Linked DNA regions of Drosophila melanogaster. The protein of the gene in region 2 interacts with the protein of the main gene of each other region in a pairwise test. Each region holds a gene or a part of one and is shown on either strand. Other genes may lie near its edges.

Region 1 (4,119 bases), on a different chromosome or scaffold from region 2:
ATGCCTTAATCATGATTCTATTAATGAGCTATGTGGATATGACAGTCTATATGGTCGAAGTGGCTGGCAATTGGCTGCTGGTAAATATGACCCAGGGGGTTCGGGAAATGGTCCAAGATCTAGAGGTCTTGCCCGAACGGAATGGCATTCCGCGGGAGATGGGACTGATGCAAATCCTTGCCGCCTGGCGAAAACTTTGGAGACGCTGTCGCCGTTTGGATGCGTTGCTCAAGCAGTTCGTTGACATCTTCCAGTGGCAGGTGCTCTTCAACCTGCTAACCACTTATATATTCAGCATTGCTGTTTTGTTTCGATTGTGGATTTATTTGGAGTTCGATAAAAACTTTCATTTATGGAAGGGCATATTGTATGCGATTATTTTTCTGACCCATCACGTCGAAATCGTAATGCAATTTTCCATTTTCGAGATCAACCGCTGTAAGTGGTTGGGACTTTTAGAAGATGTCGGAAATCTGTGGGACATCAATTATTCGGGAAGGCAATGCATTAAAAGCAGTGGAACGATTCTGTCAAGAAAGGTAAATATTTTGTATTGAATTCATAGTGCAAAGATAATGACTAACGCTTTATTTTAGTTAGAGTTTTCCCTGCTCTACATGAATCGCAAACTTCAACTGAATCCAAAACGTGTGAGACGTCTGCACATCGTTGGATTGTTCGATTTGAGTAATTTAACCGTTCACAACATGACCAGAAGTATAATAACCAATGTGTTAGTTCTGTGTCAGATTGCCTATAAAAAATATGGTTGAAAAATAATGTGTGTAAAGTTATCCAATTAAATTTCAATATCAAGTAATTTGACAAAATGTTTTTGGGTTCGAAGGTCTGCTAAAATCTTCCAAATTTTATATAAAACATTATATATTTAAGCTTTATAGAAAACAAGGAACATATGTATGTATTTATTTCTAGCTGGCCCCAATACATAACTCTTTTGGAGACATCTTAAAATTATCCGCTATACAAGAAAGCCACAAAATCATAGCTTTCAATTCGAATTTGATATCCTATAAAACTCCCATGACTGAGAGTCCTGTAAGCTGCGAGAAAGCTTTCTATTTTCGTGTAAAGTTCTGAAAGCTTGATTGATTTACGTTTATGTATCATATCAAGGTAAAAAAAAAAACCGTGTATAAATGGTGAACATTTAGGTAGATAGATATAAGATATATGATTTTCTTTACACTTTTGTTTTGTTCTTCATCAAATGGATGAGATATTGACGATCATTGATGGGTTGTCTTTGCCGTCTCAAATCGAACTGCATGAGGATAATGACGTTGCTCAGAATGGAGCCAATATAACTAAGGCAAGCGGGTTTGTCCAGCTCCACAATTCCGCATATTTTGTAGACCAACCGATTCTGCCTCAGCTGCATGGTAAAAACATCCAACTAAGTGGAATATTGTTTAGTATATATTAAATTTTGTTTGAGGCTGAGCACACTCACCTCCCTTTGCATCTTTGGACCCACTTTTGGTAGATCGCTAAGTTGCCTTAGTTGCTGGCCAGTGTTGTTGCAGGAGGTCACCACACTATCCAGCATTTCCATCAGCGCCATGGTGCCCCAGAAGTTGAAAACGATCAATCCGTTGCCAAATAAGATGCCCCAACCATTTGACTTGATGCTGCTATTGCTGTACTGGACGGCATGATAAAGGATATTAATAGCGGTCATAAACATGTTGATAAACACCGTGGCATTAGCGATGTCAAACATGTCAAAGATCCTTCTGGCTAATCGAAGGGTTTTCAGATGCATGGCGGCTACGGAACGCAGAGCTTTCCATTTCTTCCGGGCTTTCCTACCATGAAGAGCGTTTATGGCCAGATGGATTACCAAAAATTGATGATTCAGTAGAACCAGTACCCCGAAGAAACCCATTTTCACGCACAAGAAGTGCAGAAAGTGCGTGAGCCGGGCACAGAAAGCCAGGAAAATCTGTGGGTTAATCACACTGAGCAATTGATACTGCAACACAGTGGAGCACAGAAAAGCACTATAGAGTAATATTATTTTCCGGATCATTATTCTGGCCAAGGACTCTTGTAGGTCAAGGAGTTCTTTCTTGTCCACTATGGCCCTCGTTATGTGTCCGAACCTCTTCCAATATATCAGCGAGTATTTATAGAGCTGAATGATTTTGTGGCGCTTTAGCCACAGGGTTCCATAGCAGCTCACCACAGCGATGGCTCTAAGGAAGAGCATCACAAAGAAGTTCCACTGCAGGACTATGTTGTACTTCATGTAGCCATCTTCCATGATCCGAGGCACCATGAAGTACAAGTTTAGAAACAGGAATATGCCCACAAAGAAACTGTAGATGGTGTAAGTTCGCGAGACCTTTTCCAAGCGTAGGCATTTCCTGCAGGAGCGTATCCTTAGGGTAGTGCTCATTAGGGCGAAGACAACGGAATGGTAGTAGACCACGTTCATCACGCGACCAAGTTTCGGATGCAACATGCTGCAGTCAAGGCAGCCAGGTAACTGACCACGTCCTAAACGCGGCAGACAACTAATTAGGATATAAAGCTTACTGATGGAATTACGATGAGCAGACAGGTTCTCCGATTTCCATCAGGATAACAGAGCTTCCATCGATTTTATAGAACAGTTGACGGGTGTCCTTTGCCGGAAGCAGTTGTACGAAATGCTGTTGAAATTCATGTACATATATGGAATAGGCTGTGGTCTGATGCCTGCTCCTCTGAAGAAAGGACAGTTTCTTTTGGGATATAAGCAGAGATGGTACCTCATCTATACGGCCTGCCTGCACGGCGGTCTACTGACCGTCCTGCCCTTCACATTTCCCCACTACATGTACGACGACAGCTACATGAGCAGCAATCCAGTCCTGAAATGGACATTTAATCTAACCAACATCACCCGTATTATGGCCATGTTTTCGGGCGTTCTCCTGATGTGGTTCAGAAGAAAAAGGATCTTGAATTTGGGTGAAAACTTAATACTTCACTGTCTTAAGTGCAAAACACTGGATAATCGTTCTAAGAAGTATTCTAAATTGCGGAAAAGAGTTCGAAATGTACTTTTCCAGATGTTACTCGTCGCAAATCTCAGCATTCTGCTGGGGGCTTTAATTTTGTTTAGAATTCATTCAGTACAAAGAATTAGTAAAACTGCAATGATTGTAGCCCATATTACACAGTTTATATATGTGGTCTTTATGATGACGGGAATATGTGTGATCCTATTAGTTCTCCACTGGCAAAGTGAGAGACTTCAAATAGCACTCAAGGACTTGTGCTCCTTTCTTAATCATGAAGAACGCAACTCCTTGACTTTATCAGAAAACAAGGCCAATAGATCCCTCGGAAAATTGGCTAAGCTCTTTAAACTTTTTGCGGAAAATCAGCGATTAGTCCGAGAAGTTTTTCGAACCTTTGACTTGCCCATCGCCCTTCTTTTGCTGAAAATGTTTGTTACAAACGTGAATCTGGTTTATCATGGAGTGCAATTTGGCAACGATACCATAGAAACCTCAAGTTACACAAGAATCGTGGGACAGTGGGTGGTGATTTCTCATTACTGGAGTGCTGTTTTGCTCATGAATGTTGTGGATGACGTGACGCGGAGAAGTGACCTGAAAATGGGAGACCTCCTGCGAGAATTCAGTCATCTGGAGCTGGTCAAAAGGGACTTTCATTTGCAGGTAGCATTTTTCTGGTAAAATATACGATATAAAATTTTTCATACATTTTTAGCTGGAACTTTTCTCGGATCACCTTCGTTGTCATCCGTCAACGTATAAGGTCTGTGGACTATTTATTTTCAATAAGCAAACGAGTTTGGCTTATTTTTTCTATGTGCTGGTTCAAGTTTTGGTGCTTGTACAATTTGATTTAAAAAATAAAGTTGAAAAAAGAAATTAAAAGTGATAAACAGAAGCTCTAAGCTCTAAATAACATATGTACATAAGTATAATTCCTTATGTACATATGTATGTATTTGGCTGGCCAAAATCCTTCTTATTGTCAAAAATCATAATATATTTTGACGCCCAGAAGCAGGATCAAATTAGGCAACAAATAATTTCAATAAATGTACATATGTACACCATGTGTGCACACTGAGAG
Region 2 (8,557 bases):
TTGCATTGCACACGCAAACTTCGAATGATCTTGAAGAAACACAAAATGCAGTTGTTCTCAAACTGAAAATGTTACCTTCGCCCAACAAGAATGCAATCATTTTCAAGTACTTAACTCTGGACTTGAAACCCTCAACGGCGAGTCTGGAGGAGAAGCTGATACTTAAAGTGGCTTCATTCCTGGGCTACGGCAAGATCAACCGTCAGAACTTAAGTGTGCAATACCAATTCGAGAACACGGATGATAAGCCTTTTCTGCAGGATATGAAGAGATACTATTTTGAGAACTTAAGTATTGGCGCAACTCAGGTAATTTTTTAAAATCTAGACTTAATGGTCTTAAACAACTCAATTTTCTCTTTAAAGGTTCGACTTTCAGCATTCACTTCTTCAAAGTTGCCGGTGGAGTTGCATGAAACCAAGAAGGCACTTGGACTCACTCTAATAAAATTCGAAGATGCCTTGATTGAACTCGACAGGTATTCGGATAAATTGCACTTTGAGACGATGGACGTTTATCGGAAGGAGCTGAAGAAGCACTACATCAACCAAGTCAAATGGCATGCGGCTGCAATTTTGGGCAGCGTCGATTTCCTTGGTAATCCATTGGGATTTGCCAACGATCTTTCGGAAGGAGTATCCGGACTGATTTTTGAGGGCTCCGTCAAGAGTTTGGTGAAAAATGTTACGCATGGCATATCGAATTCGACGGCGAAGCTAACAGAAACGCTGTCCGATAGCCTGGGAAAAGTTGTGCTGGATGATCACGACAATGAGACGAGGCAACGCATTCTGGAACTGCAGTCCAATACATCCGGCGGTCACCTTGCAGCGGGTCTGAAGGGTCTCGGATTTGGACTGCTGGGCGGAGTAACGAGTATTGTAAGACACACTTACGATGGTGCCACTTCCGATGGCGTTCCTGGCTTTCTCAGTGGATTGGGAAAGGGCTTAGTAGGCACTGTCACCAAACCGATCATTGGTGTATTGGACCTGGCATCGGAAACTGCCAGTGCCGTTCGTGAAACAAGCCGAGATAGTCACAGAAACGCTCCGGAAAGGAAAAGGCTACCCAGATGTGTGACTGGTGCTCCTGGTGGTCTTTTGCCATTGTATTCCAATCGCCAAAGCAAGGGGCAGCAATATCTGTACCTAATCAATCAAAAGAACTTTTCGGAGAAGATAATTTCATATGAACCCAATCTATGGAGCGACAAGGAGGCTAGATTGCGCTTGCTGGTTTCTACAGAATACGTACGAATCTTTTCACTAAGCGACGCCAATCCAACCATTATGTTTGAATGTCATGTTAGTGAGATTCTTTCGTGCCATCCAGTGGTAACGAATGCCGGCACAACGCCAACCACGAGCAGCAGGGCGTCGGCCAGTCACTACATCGAGATATCAACCAATCTTCCAAAGATTACCAGGCCCAGGATACGGTGTCGTTCCGAGGAATGTGCTGAGGCAGCATCAAGATGCGTAAGTAGAAATCATCTTAGCAGAAATTAGTAGAAATTATCTTTCAATAATAAACTATTATTGTTGAAGCGCAGACTTTGTTTATCATATAATTTATTTACTTTTACAAATTTTGAAATGATTATCACATATATTCCATACTTGTCTTTTTCTTTTAGATAAACTACGCTAAAAGTGTCTTTGATGAACGTGAACATGCCGTTTTATAAAATGCAATAGGTCGGTTCGTGATAATAAACAAAAACCTTTTGACAACAAATGTTACATTTTATTTTCTTTGGCAATAAGTGCTATTTTAATTTCAAGTAGTAAGTAAAATAAACATTTAAGAAATAATGAACCCACATACTATGGTGTGATATAAATCAAGGATCAAAAAGCGATCGACACGGAATACTATAAACAGATATTACGGATTCATTGTAGGATAAAATGACCGCAGTGTAAATATTGTGTAGATATATTATTTGTCATGACGGGCATTAATACAAAAAAGAATGTTTGTAAAGTTAGTAACATTAATAAATATGGTATTTAATAATCGGCATTCTTGTAATGCTCCTTACGAAACGATGAGAGTTTTAGTCGTTGCATTTGGAGAGCTTGTTCGATTTCGAGTACTTTAACATGAATTTCCATTTCCATCGTTTTAATCTGTGATGGCGTTAGCTTAGAAAGTTCTATTTCACTCTGCTGCTCCAGCTGGGAGTTGCAATCCTTCACGGTGGCGACCAGAGTTCCTGTTGCCTGCGTTACGCTTCGCGAGGCTTTTGTGAGGTCGGTTAGCTTTTGACTATTACGTTCAGCCTTGACTTTGCTCGCAATAACCATTTGGGTCGTGCAGGCAGCAATTTCTTGGGCAGCCACAATGAGTTCAAAGTTCTTGCCAGATTCACTTTCAATAGCCTTGTTTGCAGCTTCCACCAGATAGTTGGCTGCCTTCGCCACACTTTTCGAGGCGGATATCAAACCATCTGACCACTGACTGTTCCGCCTATAAAACTCATTAGCACTCGCATTTCCTGAAAGAGTAATTACTTGTCAGTAACTTCATTGAATTAAAAAATATTGTTAGCTACCTTTTTGGGAAGCCACGATTTCGTGTTGCAGGAGACGAGATTTTTGGATTAGAGCTTTGACACATTCCATCAAGGTGGTACACGCATCCACTATTTTTCCGTTTACCTCTAAATTGGTTTGGTTGTCCTTCTCTCGAGCCTTTGCCAGTAGATCTGTAATTTTGGAGGCTGCATCATCAATCGCAGCGTCCATCTCGCGAAGCTCGATTTCGAGCAGCTTATCTAAATCAATCTTCTGTTCAAATGATGCCTTTATTTTCTCAATCAGCTTTTCAATATCTCTCAGCTTTGTTTGTATATCAGTGATTGTTTTCTGTCTCTCGGGTTCTTTTGTTTCATTATTTAATAAGTATTGGAACAATTGACAGATATCGGTACATAACAAATTTGTTTTTGAGAAAATTTCTGCAAAATAAGTAATACAAAGTTAGTTTGCTGTAGGTGGTTATGTTTTTAGTGTTATCAACTTACCCTGACCTGTCTCAATTGCAGTTGTTGTTTTGTAGATAACATCACATTGATCGTATAGTTTTATAAATACATAACCCAGATACATAACATTTTGCAGTCCTTCGGTTGAAGCAACATAGTTTATAGCCGATGCGTTATTGAACTTATTTAAAATGGTCTCCATTTCGCGTATTATGTTTGGCACCGCATCCAAAGGCTGTTGTTCCGATCCGCTCAACTTCGAATTGCATATTTCCTTTACAGTCTTGATCACCAATTTTCTGAGTTCACTCAAATCGGTACTACAGATTTGGTACGAACTTGTCACGGCATCAATTTGCTGTGTTGCTTGGGTTAGTTTTACCTCAGTAAGCGAGAGTTTGCTTTGCAAATCCTCGTTACGCTGACCCGCTGAAGCATTTTCCTGCCTCAATTGATTCACAATTTCCTGGGTTTGCTGAAGAAAGAAAAGCAGTTTCTATAATTTTCTTGATTTAAATTGGTTTCATTTACCTGTAATGCACTCTCATTTTGCTCCAAGTTGTTTAAAGTTAGCTGCAATTGAGCATTTTGTGCTTCGCTGTTGTTTTTATGCTCTATACCTAACTGCTCTATTTTAGTTAATAGCACTGATTTTTCCGCTTCAAATGCCTTTAAATTGTTTTGAATTTCCAATGCCTTTAAGCTGATTTGGCTTTCTGCGCTGGACAGCTGAAGCTTAACTTCATTGAACTCTTTATCCTTTTGTTCCAAGTTATCCATTATTTCTTGCAATTGAGCGTTTTGAGCTTCACTATGGCTTTTACTTTCAACACTCTGTTGTTCAATCTGAGTTAAGAGCAATGCCTTTTCCGCTTCAAAAGCTTTTAGCATTTTCTCGATATCCTCGGTCTTTGCATTTATTTGGCTTTCGGCGTTCGACAGTTTTTCCAGGGTGTCATTGAGGTTTCCATTAAGCTCTTCGACTTTGAGGCAATTTAGCCTCAGGTTTTCGGAAGTGGAAATAATATCGAGTTCCTGAATTTCCTTTTGTTTAACCACATCATCGAATTTCTCCTTCATCTCGTTTTTGACTGCTTCAAGATGTGCTATTTTCTCCTTGTGCTCTTCGATTTGCTTTTGCAGAATCAAGTTTGTTTTCTCTTTTTCCTCTACGTTTACTTTAATTTTGGAAATTTCATTGGTAAGCTCCTTAGTTTCCAACAATAGTTGTGAGTTTACTTGTTTCTCTTTATTTAAGGACTTGTTGCAATCACTTTGCTGATATAAAAGTATATGAATGAATATTAGTATAGGAAATAGAAAATATTGTGTTTCTGCATACCTCTCTCAGCAGCTGAATGTGCTCATCTCGAATCTTTGTGTATAGAGTTTTAAGTTTATTAAACTTTTCCGACGACAACTTGTGCTTTTCTTCTTCCTCCATAGCTTTTTCTGAAATACAAGGTATTTTTATATGACTTCATTATGTTTAATAAGCATTTAATTACGTAAAAGAATTGGGTTCTGATTCAGTTGCATCTCAAGATCGTCATTTTGCATCCGAAAGGTGGCACACATTTCTCTCGCCAAGACCAGATCATTTGACAGCACAGTATTGTTCTGTTGCAACTCCTGAACGTCGTGTCTGTAGCTTTGCTGCAGTGCGTCGAAATTTTTTTGCATTGCGTCCAATTTGAATGACAGCTCCTCAATGCTAGCCTCTTTCTCGCTGATTATACCCTCCAACATGCTAAGCTGCTGCTGGGCTTGACTGAAGGCTTCCAGCTCGTGATTGTTGGTATCCACAAGGTCTTCAACAACCGGATCGGGCTCCTGGGGAACGTGAACCACTGGCGGTACATAACTGGTGAAATCGTTTTGGGACTTGAAGTTAGGACTTGAGTCCGGCAATTCCGGGATTGTTATTAGGTCCTTGAAATACTGAAGCGGTCGCACGTTGTTGTAAAAACTCTTCAACTTTAAAAACAGACCGTGAAAGCGATCTCTGTGTCCGGAAACAACGTCGTATGGTACACCATCGTGTAGTTTAAACATTAACCGAACGCTTAAATCGTACAACGCATTGGAATCCTGGATAAGGCAAACTATTGGCGCTAATCTACATTGTCCCTGCGGTGTCATCGACGACATTCTGTACTTTTCCATAGATGAAAATATCGTCAATTGCAGCGCAATTATATCCTCCAAGTAGTCGAAAATTTCCACGCACAGTTGAAAACTGGAATCAATGGTTCTGTCTCAGTAGTTTGAAAGTAATATATATCTATTTTTACTTACCAATAATTTAAATCCCTATCCACAGCAATGAAGAGTTCCGTGAACGAAATGTTCAGGGTGCCGGGAAACATTCGATTTTTGTCGTGGAAGTTTAATTTTGTGGCCAAGAGCTTACTATACGCCTGTATGCAGCATCCAATATCGTCCTGCAGCAGGCCCCACATTTTTCCCACCTCCAGTATCATCTTCTTGTGGCTCTGCGAGTGGCGGATGGCACTTTCATGACCCTCTCGCAGGACCTTGTGCAGCAGATGCGAAAACTTCCAGGCAGTAAATCTACTCTGCATCAAAGGCTGCCGGGAGATGATCATCCAGAATGTTTTGGCCTCTTTGGCCTTGTGTATCATAATAATAATGGAGCGGGCATGTTTGGTTTTGAGTGGCGCTTCCAGGCCATTTAAAGCTTTGGACACGCTGACGTTCTGAAATGAAATGTAAATATTATAGTTTAAATGGCTTTTTATTGTTGTACACTTTCGAAGAAGTGACTGACTCAGCTTATAAGATATGGACGGATTTTGGCGGACGATATCTATAGTTTTATACTTTTTAGTGGAATTCGATCTAAAGGGGGTGACTCACTGATCGACTATTTAGTTTGGAAGTGCAAACATTTCGATGCTTTTAAAAATAAGATTCCAAACACCTACACCATGTGTTTGATATGAATTTATGATAACAGAAGGTAATCTAAATACTGGATTTCACTTCTTATCGTGCCGAATTTGGGTTGATAATCAAAAAATTTGAAAGGCCTTTGTGTGCACATTGAACAATTGATCAAAGTGGATGTAGTCCGCATAGCATTCATTGCAGTTTCTAATTTTCTGGGTCATCCGAAGCGGAGAAACTTGGGATTAGCATGTAGTGTAGTCTCTGTGGTGTTGCAAGTCGTGTGAAAAGCTGATGATATTTCGAGCTGTTCCATATAATCTGGTTCAAGGCTGACTTCTTAAGTGAAATGTTTATGCATATTTGAGCGGCGCGCCTGTAGTTGTGTGCATAAACATTTAGGTATTTACACTATGCACATGATATGACAACATCCGTGTGCCTATAATCTGCTGTGGGTATTCTTGGCGGTTTTCTTGGCTTTCCTTTGGGCTTACGTACCAGGTGGTAGAACTCCTTTTCGGCGTGAGTTGCCATTGTTTACTGACAATTCTTGGCGTACTTGCTGAACAAATTCGAATCATTCGCAGCGCGATATATGTGCATTAGAGCAAAGACAGCAAAGACATTGGAAACGGGAGTTATCTTATCTTATCAACAATGTTGGCCATTGTTTTCGTATTGGTCGCGTTCGTATTCATTCGGATTCCGATCGTGTGCGTGTATGAAACAATGAGTGTAAGAGTAAATTAGTCATATAAACAAATGTTGTTTTCCTTTATCGATAAAAGTTAATAGAGCTGGGCGGTGTTCCGATATGCGGGCTTTACCCTATCGATTCGTTTCGATAGTCATCAACTTCTTGCATCACCATTTTGAGCGCGAAAAAAAATGTTTTGCAAATTTTTATTTTTTTCCATTAAATCGAAGGATATTTGAATTGAAATACACTTAAATGAACCAATATTTAAATTATAACATCGAACGCTTTCAATAAAACTTCAGTTAAGTTAAAAATTTAATTTAATTTGATTTTATACGATGGTTTAAAAAAAAGCTTTAGAATGTGTTTTTGAAATTTTTGTGTACTGATTTTCTAAAAAGATAGATTTTGTTCGATATTTATAGATCTGCTACCATATTTTTACTTTAAATAAAAGAACGACAATTTTAATTTGTTTTTAAAGTAATTTTAATTTAATGTATTCTTCCAACTGTTTGGATTAAATTTGGTATTCCGATTGATCATAGTAATCCAAATGTACATTTTGCTGTGGCCAAAACATCTCGGCTGGGTATTGGTTTTGTGGTGGAATGTAACGTCGATTGGGATCTGGAACGGATGTCATCATCAGTTGCGGATGATGATATTGATTGCTATAAGGACAAGCGTGGTGTCTGAAAGTAGGATGCTGTTCTCCGTGAACAAAATTTGGCTGCAGTGAAAATTCCGGTGGCTGGAAGTTGGAATCCATGCGTGTTATATTATACTTATTCACGGTGCGTTCATAGAATCCATCTGGAAGCATTCGAATGTTCTCTTTTAGTTGAGGATTGTAGTCAGGGTTTCTGGCCTGAGAGGAACTTGGGTCTGAAGTATGTACAGATTCCTGAAAATGATGATAGGATCCATGATCCGGCTGACATTGTTCCTTCATTTGAAATTGATGCTGCACGGCTGGTGCTGAAGCTGGTGACTTAGTGGGCATCCACTGATCCCGCGGATCTATAAGGTACCCTTCATCGAAAGGAGTGACATTTTGTGGAGCACTCACAGAGATCTGCGGTTGTAGCATATGATCCGGTGGCTTCGTAAATCCTTGATGGAGACTCGGAGGAAGACCCGTGTATTGATAAGGACACGAGTTACAGGGCGGTCGTCCACAGGTCTGGAGTAGAATTTCCCTGTTACAGGGAGTTCTTGTCTCTATAAGAACGGTGTTCCCATTGATATTTGCCTGGTTTCTGATCCCAGCACTTTCACAACTACGAAGTTTTCGAGGTTGCATTAGGGTTACCGTTTCCAGTGTTTCCACGTCAGTCGATGTATTGGGAGCTAGTAATTGGGAGTTCGGAGGTGGATCTGTCCAAGTTAAGTCAGTAGAATACCCAGAAGCTCCAACCATAGCTGAATTATGCGACCCGTCCTCGTTTTGATGACTATCGCGATGGCTTTGGTCACTATTATTTCTATCACAAGCTAGGTATTCATCTTGTCTGTGCTGGTCAGGATATTGGCTGCTGGCCGAAATGAATCTTCCGCCTTGCGAATTGTTTGAATCATTTCTTTGAATACGTCTAAGTACTGGGTAAGATGTTTGGGATGGGGCTTTTCGTCTATTTTCTGAGGATGGTGGATTGTTACTCAAAGAATCAGAAACGCCTGGATGATTCTGCAGATTCCTATTTCTCCTTTCAATAGATTGCTCTGCTGTATTCGTTCTAGTAGATGGCGAAGAAGCTAGAACAAATACACCGTTCATTTGGCCAACAGAAGAATTGCAGTTTCGATTCTTCGTCCTTTTTGTTTTCTGGGTTTGTAGTCGAACGTGTCTTGTAGTCGCTGGTGCCATTTGAAATTGATTGGTATTGAGTCTGGTGAAGTTTAGACCAAATTTCCTCCTGAAATATGTTTGGATTAAAAGTAAGAGATCA
Region 3 (4,181 bases), on a different chromosome or scaffold from region 2:
GGGCTACTCACTCCATCGTATACGCTCGGCGTAGAACAAGTGATGAACATCAGAAGCACTAGTTCCACCCTCGTCCAAGCTGAATCCCACATTCATTTGTTTGTAAAAGTCAGTTTCAACGAACGCTGCCATGCCATGGATGCCTCCAATCTCCTCGTCAGGAACAAAGGTTACATAGAGCGTCCTTTTCGGCTGAAAGCCATCAGCCCTCAGCAGGCGTATAGCTCCTAGATACTGAGTGCCCACCGATTTCATGTCCTGAGCACCTCGTGCAAAGATCCTACCCTCCTCGTCGATGTCGGCGGAGAAGGGTTCATGGGTCCACATTTCCGGGAATACAGGAACCACGTCCATGTGCGAGCTTAAAATGATTGAGGGCAACTTTGGCTGGCTTCCTTCCCATTTAATGATCACCACAGGTTTTGATTTAACAGCTGGAAAAACTACTTCCACGGGCAGATTGAGGGAATCTGCCTGCCGCTTAATAAACTCCACACAAGCAGCTAAAAATGAATAGTGCTAATGCATTTAAGGAAATATTAAAATAAGGACCTTACTATAATCAATATTAGGGTGTACAGATGGAATTCGCAAATACTCCCGGAATATTCGAATTTCCTCGTTCTTTTCCCATTTTTCGGCACTCATTTTTAATATGAATCGTTAGGATGGTAAAGTAGAAATAAGCAGCTAAAGGCATCCGCTGTCTTTATATGCATTTGGATCGTGCCACAAAAGTGATTATGCGTATATGATAAGAAAATCGTTATCAATGGGCGGCAGATCTCTTCCAATTCTGACTATATTGCAAGTCACTTTGGATGGCAGTCGAGGTAGTGACAAGAAGCAGTATAGTTGACAATCTGCTACAGAATTCCCATCAGAATCATTTATATCTTGATCAAGGAGGCGAAAGTCAAAGAATCAACAAACAATATTGAGATAAACACGGAATTTCAAATTAAACTCTTGAATCTTTTTTTTTTTTTGATAAGATTACTCTCTAAAATGAAGATACGAGGCACACTTTAGTAATTAGCCCATCTTTATTATAGCCACGATCCATGTAGTTCAAACATTTTGTTTAGACTTCAGCCAGATTGCGAATAATCTTCTTGTACACATCAATGCCATTAAGATACACATCAGCCTGCAGAAACTCGTCGTGGTCATGGATCCGCATGGTGGTGTTTATAATGGGTGAGAATCCAATGGCTGGGGTACCCTTCTCCCGAATGAAACGACTGTCAGTGGCGCCAGGACAAACGATGGGATGAACCTTCAATCCACTAAAACACAGGAGGATTTCGATTAGCCATTATAGTTAATTTTTAGTCGGTACTTACAGCTCATCGATTGCGGCTTTGACAGCTAGCCAGTAGGGATTGGAATTGTCCAGCTTGGTGGGTCCTATATAAGGCTCCTTCTGGAAGAAATCAATTTCAATGCCACCACCCGCCTCCTCGCACCAATCGCGAATCTGTTTCTCAAAGGCAACCACATTCACAGTAATGGCAATCCGTATGTCGAAGACCGCCTCGAAAAGTGGCGGAACCACATTGCTCTGGACTCCGCCACTTAACTGGGTGAGATTCACGGTGGTCACATCGCCCTTGCTGAGGCTGGAATCTCTCGCAAGGTTCTCCACTTGCGAGGTGCGGAATTCAGTCAGTTTGTTGACCAGATAGTTCAGTTTTACTCCTGCCGTATTGGGTAGCAAAAGGGAACCATGACCAGAAGTTCCACTGACTTTCAGCTTGAGTCCTGCATAAAGCGAAACGGTAATGTCCCCAATCCATCATCATCATCCTTATGGAACTTACCCCATCGCAAACGTTCGGCGTAGAACAAATGATGAACGTCACTTTCACTAGTGGCGCCTTCGTCCAGGCTGAATCCCGCGTTCATTTTCTTGTAGTAATCCGTCTTAACAAACTCCGCCATGCCCAGATGACCACCAGTCTCTTCGTCGGGAACAAAGGTCACATACAAATTCCTTTTTGGTTTGAAGCCACTAGCTTTCAGCAGGCGAATCGCTCCTAGATACTGAGTGCCCACCGATTTCATGTCCTGAGTACCCCGTGCAAAGATCCTACCCTCTTCATCAATATCGGCGGAGAAGGGTTCATGGGTCCACTTCTCTCGAAAAACTGGCACCACATCCGTGTGAGAGTTGAGAACAATGGACGATAGTTCGGGTTGACTTCCTTCCCACTTGATGATCACAACGGGCTTCGTTTGAACAGCAGGATAAACCACTTCAACAGGAAGATTTAGGGAGCTAGCCTGACGTTTCAGGAACTCCACACAGGCAGCTAGACATTGAAAGACATTATAACGCAAACTTTAAAGAATTAAAATTAAGTCCTCACTATAGTCAACATCTGGATGCACCGTTGGTATACGCAAGTATTCCCGGAAAATCTTAATTTCCTCATTGTTTTCCCACTTTTCCGAGCTCATTTCGACACTCTTCTGTCATCAGCAACTGAGCTGCAACAAAGATTGTCTGTGCTTTTATAATCACACTGATTGCTTTCATGTTTATGGTCAAGGAATTTAAATGCTTATCAAAAGTGTATGTGGTTGCGATAGTAACGCCCTTATCTGCAAAACCCACACGTCTATTATCCGAATAAGTAACTTTTCTAAGCGGCAAATAGTTCATTATGTATTATCTATGCAACTTACACAGAAATGAGTTCATTGCGTATTATCTATGCAACCTCAACCTTTGAAACCTCAAGTTCTTGGTAAGTTGTCATGTATTTTTCAATATTTTCCATCATATCGTAAAATTATGACAAATTCAATTAAAATGACGAAGCTTTGATTGATGACCTTCGATTTGAAAAAATCAAGTGATTATTTTGGATTTAATGGGCTTCCCAGTCTTCCAACTTGCTATCTATGATGATACAGCAAAATGTAGATACATCCATTATCTACTTGCTGTCGCAAGGATAGCAAGTTGTATTCTTCAGATCTTAAGTTGATTAAGGTATTCGTTGAGATAAGATAAAAGGCCAGGAAGTTTTGTACTAACTTATAACAAAATCATCAATCTTTATTTTGATAAGGTTTTCATGTATTATTTCGATTTAGTTTTTAGACATTCGCTAGGTTGCCCAAAATTTTCTTGTATATTTGAATGCCCTTCAAATAAGTTTCGGCGCCCAAGAACTCATCGTGATCATGGATGCGCATGGTGGTATTTTTGATGGGTGAGAATCCCAAGGCTGGAATGCCCTGAGCTCGAATGTTCCTGCTGTCGGTGGCACCGGGGCAGACAATGGGGTAGATCTTAAGGCCACTATAAACATACAAATCGTATTAGGAACACGCATTGTTGAGCATTCGATTCAGACTTACAGTTCATCGGTGGCAGCCTTGAAAGCCAGCCAGAATGGATTGGAGTCGTCGATCTTTGTGGGTGCCACGTAGGGTTCCTTCTCGTCGAAGGAGATCTCGATGCCGCCACCTGCCTCCTCGCACCAATCGTGGATCTGTTTCTCAAAGGCAACCACATCCAGGGTGATGGACAGACGCATGTCGAAGACAGCCTCGAAATGAGGAGGCACCACATTGCTCTGGACTCCACCGCTCAGCTGGGTGAGATTGATAGTTGTCACATCACCGATGTTGATTGTCTGATCATTGGCCAGCCTCTGAACCTGCGATTCGCGGAACTCCGTCAGCTTGTTGAGCACATAGTTCAGTTTCACGCCGGCAGTGCTGGGCAGCAACATGGAGCCGTGTCCAGAGGTTCCACTGAAATTCAGCTTGAGACCTGCCAAAGAGGGGATATAGTTTAGATTCTAGTCCTAGATGTGTCTCAAGGATTACTCACCCCATCGCATACGTTCGGCATAAAAGACATAGAACAGATCTATTTCACTGGTGCCGCCCTCGTCCAGACTGAAACCAACATTCATGTTGCTGTAGTATTCCGTTTTGACGAACTCCTGCATGCCCAGCTCGCCGCCGATCTCCTCATCGGGCACAAAGGTCACGAAGAAATTGCGCTTGGGCTGGACACCACTTGCCTTAAGCAGGCGGATGGCACCCAGATATCCTGTGCCCACCGACTTCATGTCCTGAGTACCGCGCGCAAAGATCCTGCCCTCCTCATCGATATCGGCAGCGAAGGGATCGTGGGTCCACTTGTCACGGAACACCGG

The links. Proteins that work in one complex are often made in the same cells at the same time.
Region 1: the proteins of Hip1 (region 2) and Gr58b interact in a two-hybrid assay, tested with the Drosophila melanogaster proteins (one large-scale study listed by BioGRID).
Region 3: the proteins of Hip1 (region 2) and CG6733 interact in a two-hybrid assay, tested with the Drosophila melanogaster proteins (one large-scale study listed by BioGRID).

What each region holds. Positions count from the first base shown.
Region 1 is NT_033778.4:21,977,185-21,981,303, forward strand, and holds Gr58b (gustatory receptor 58b), read right to left. Parts: upstream 2,494-4,119; 5' UTR 2,489-2,493; coding exon 1,475-2,488; intron 1,418-1,474; coding exon 1,205-1,417; 3' UTR 1,031-1,204; downstream 1-1,030. Other genes in the region: Gr58c (gustatory receptor 58c), read left to right, coding at 1-539, 597-773; Gr58a (gustatory receptor 58a), read left to right, coding at 2,676-3,695, 3,748-3,915. UniProt on the Drosophila melanogaster protein: Probable gustatory receptor which mediates acceptance or avoidance behavior, depending on its substrates.
Region 2 is NT_037436.4:12,766,872-12,775,428, forward strand, and holds Hip1 (huntingtin interacting protein 1), read right to left. Parts: upstream 6,703-8,557; 5' UTR 6,440-6,702; coding exon 6,404-6,439; intron 6,349-6,403; exon of another isoform or gene 5,873-6,348; intron 5,713-5,872; coding exon 5,291-5,712; intron 5,232-5,290; coding exon 4,501-5,231; intron 4,445-4,500; coding exon 4,335-4,444; intron 4,271-4,334; coding exon 3,524-4,270; intron 3,468-3,523; coding exon 3,032-3,467; intron 2,966-3,031; coding exon 2,561-2,965; intron 2,504-2,560; coding exon 2,016-2,503; 3' UTR 1,691-2,015; coding exon of another isoform or gene 1,640-1,690; 3' UTR 1,561-1,639; downstream 1-1,560. Other genes in the region: Vps13D (vacuolar protein sorting 13D), read left to right, coding at 1-308, 366-1,481, 1,640-1,690; CG32106 (uncharacterized protein), read right to left, coding at 7,126-8,524.
Region 3 is NT_033777.3:23,096,041-23,100,221, reverse strand, and holds CG6733 (uncharacterized protein), read right to left. Parts: upstream 2,495-4,181; 5' UTR 2,464-2,494; coding exon 2,373-2,463; intron 2,316-2,372; coding exon 1,824-2,315; intron 1,765-1,823; coding exon 1,347-1,764; intron 1,290-1,346; coding exon 1,085-1,289; 3' UTR 1,031-1,084; downstream 1-1,030. Other genes in the region: CG6738 (uncharacterized protein), read right to left, coding at 12-503, 558-648; CG17109 (uncharacterized protein), read right to left, coding at 3,109-3,313, 3,373-3,790, 3,851-4,181.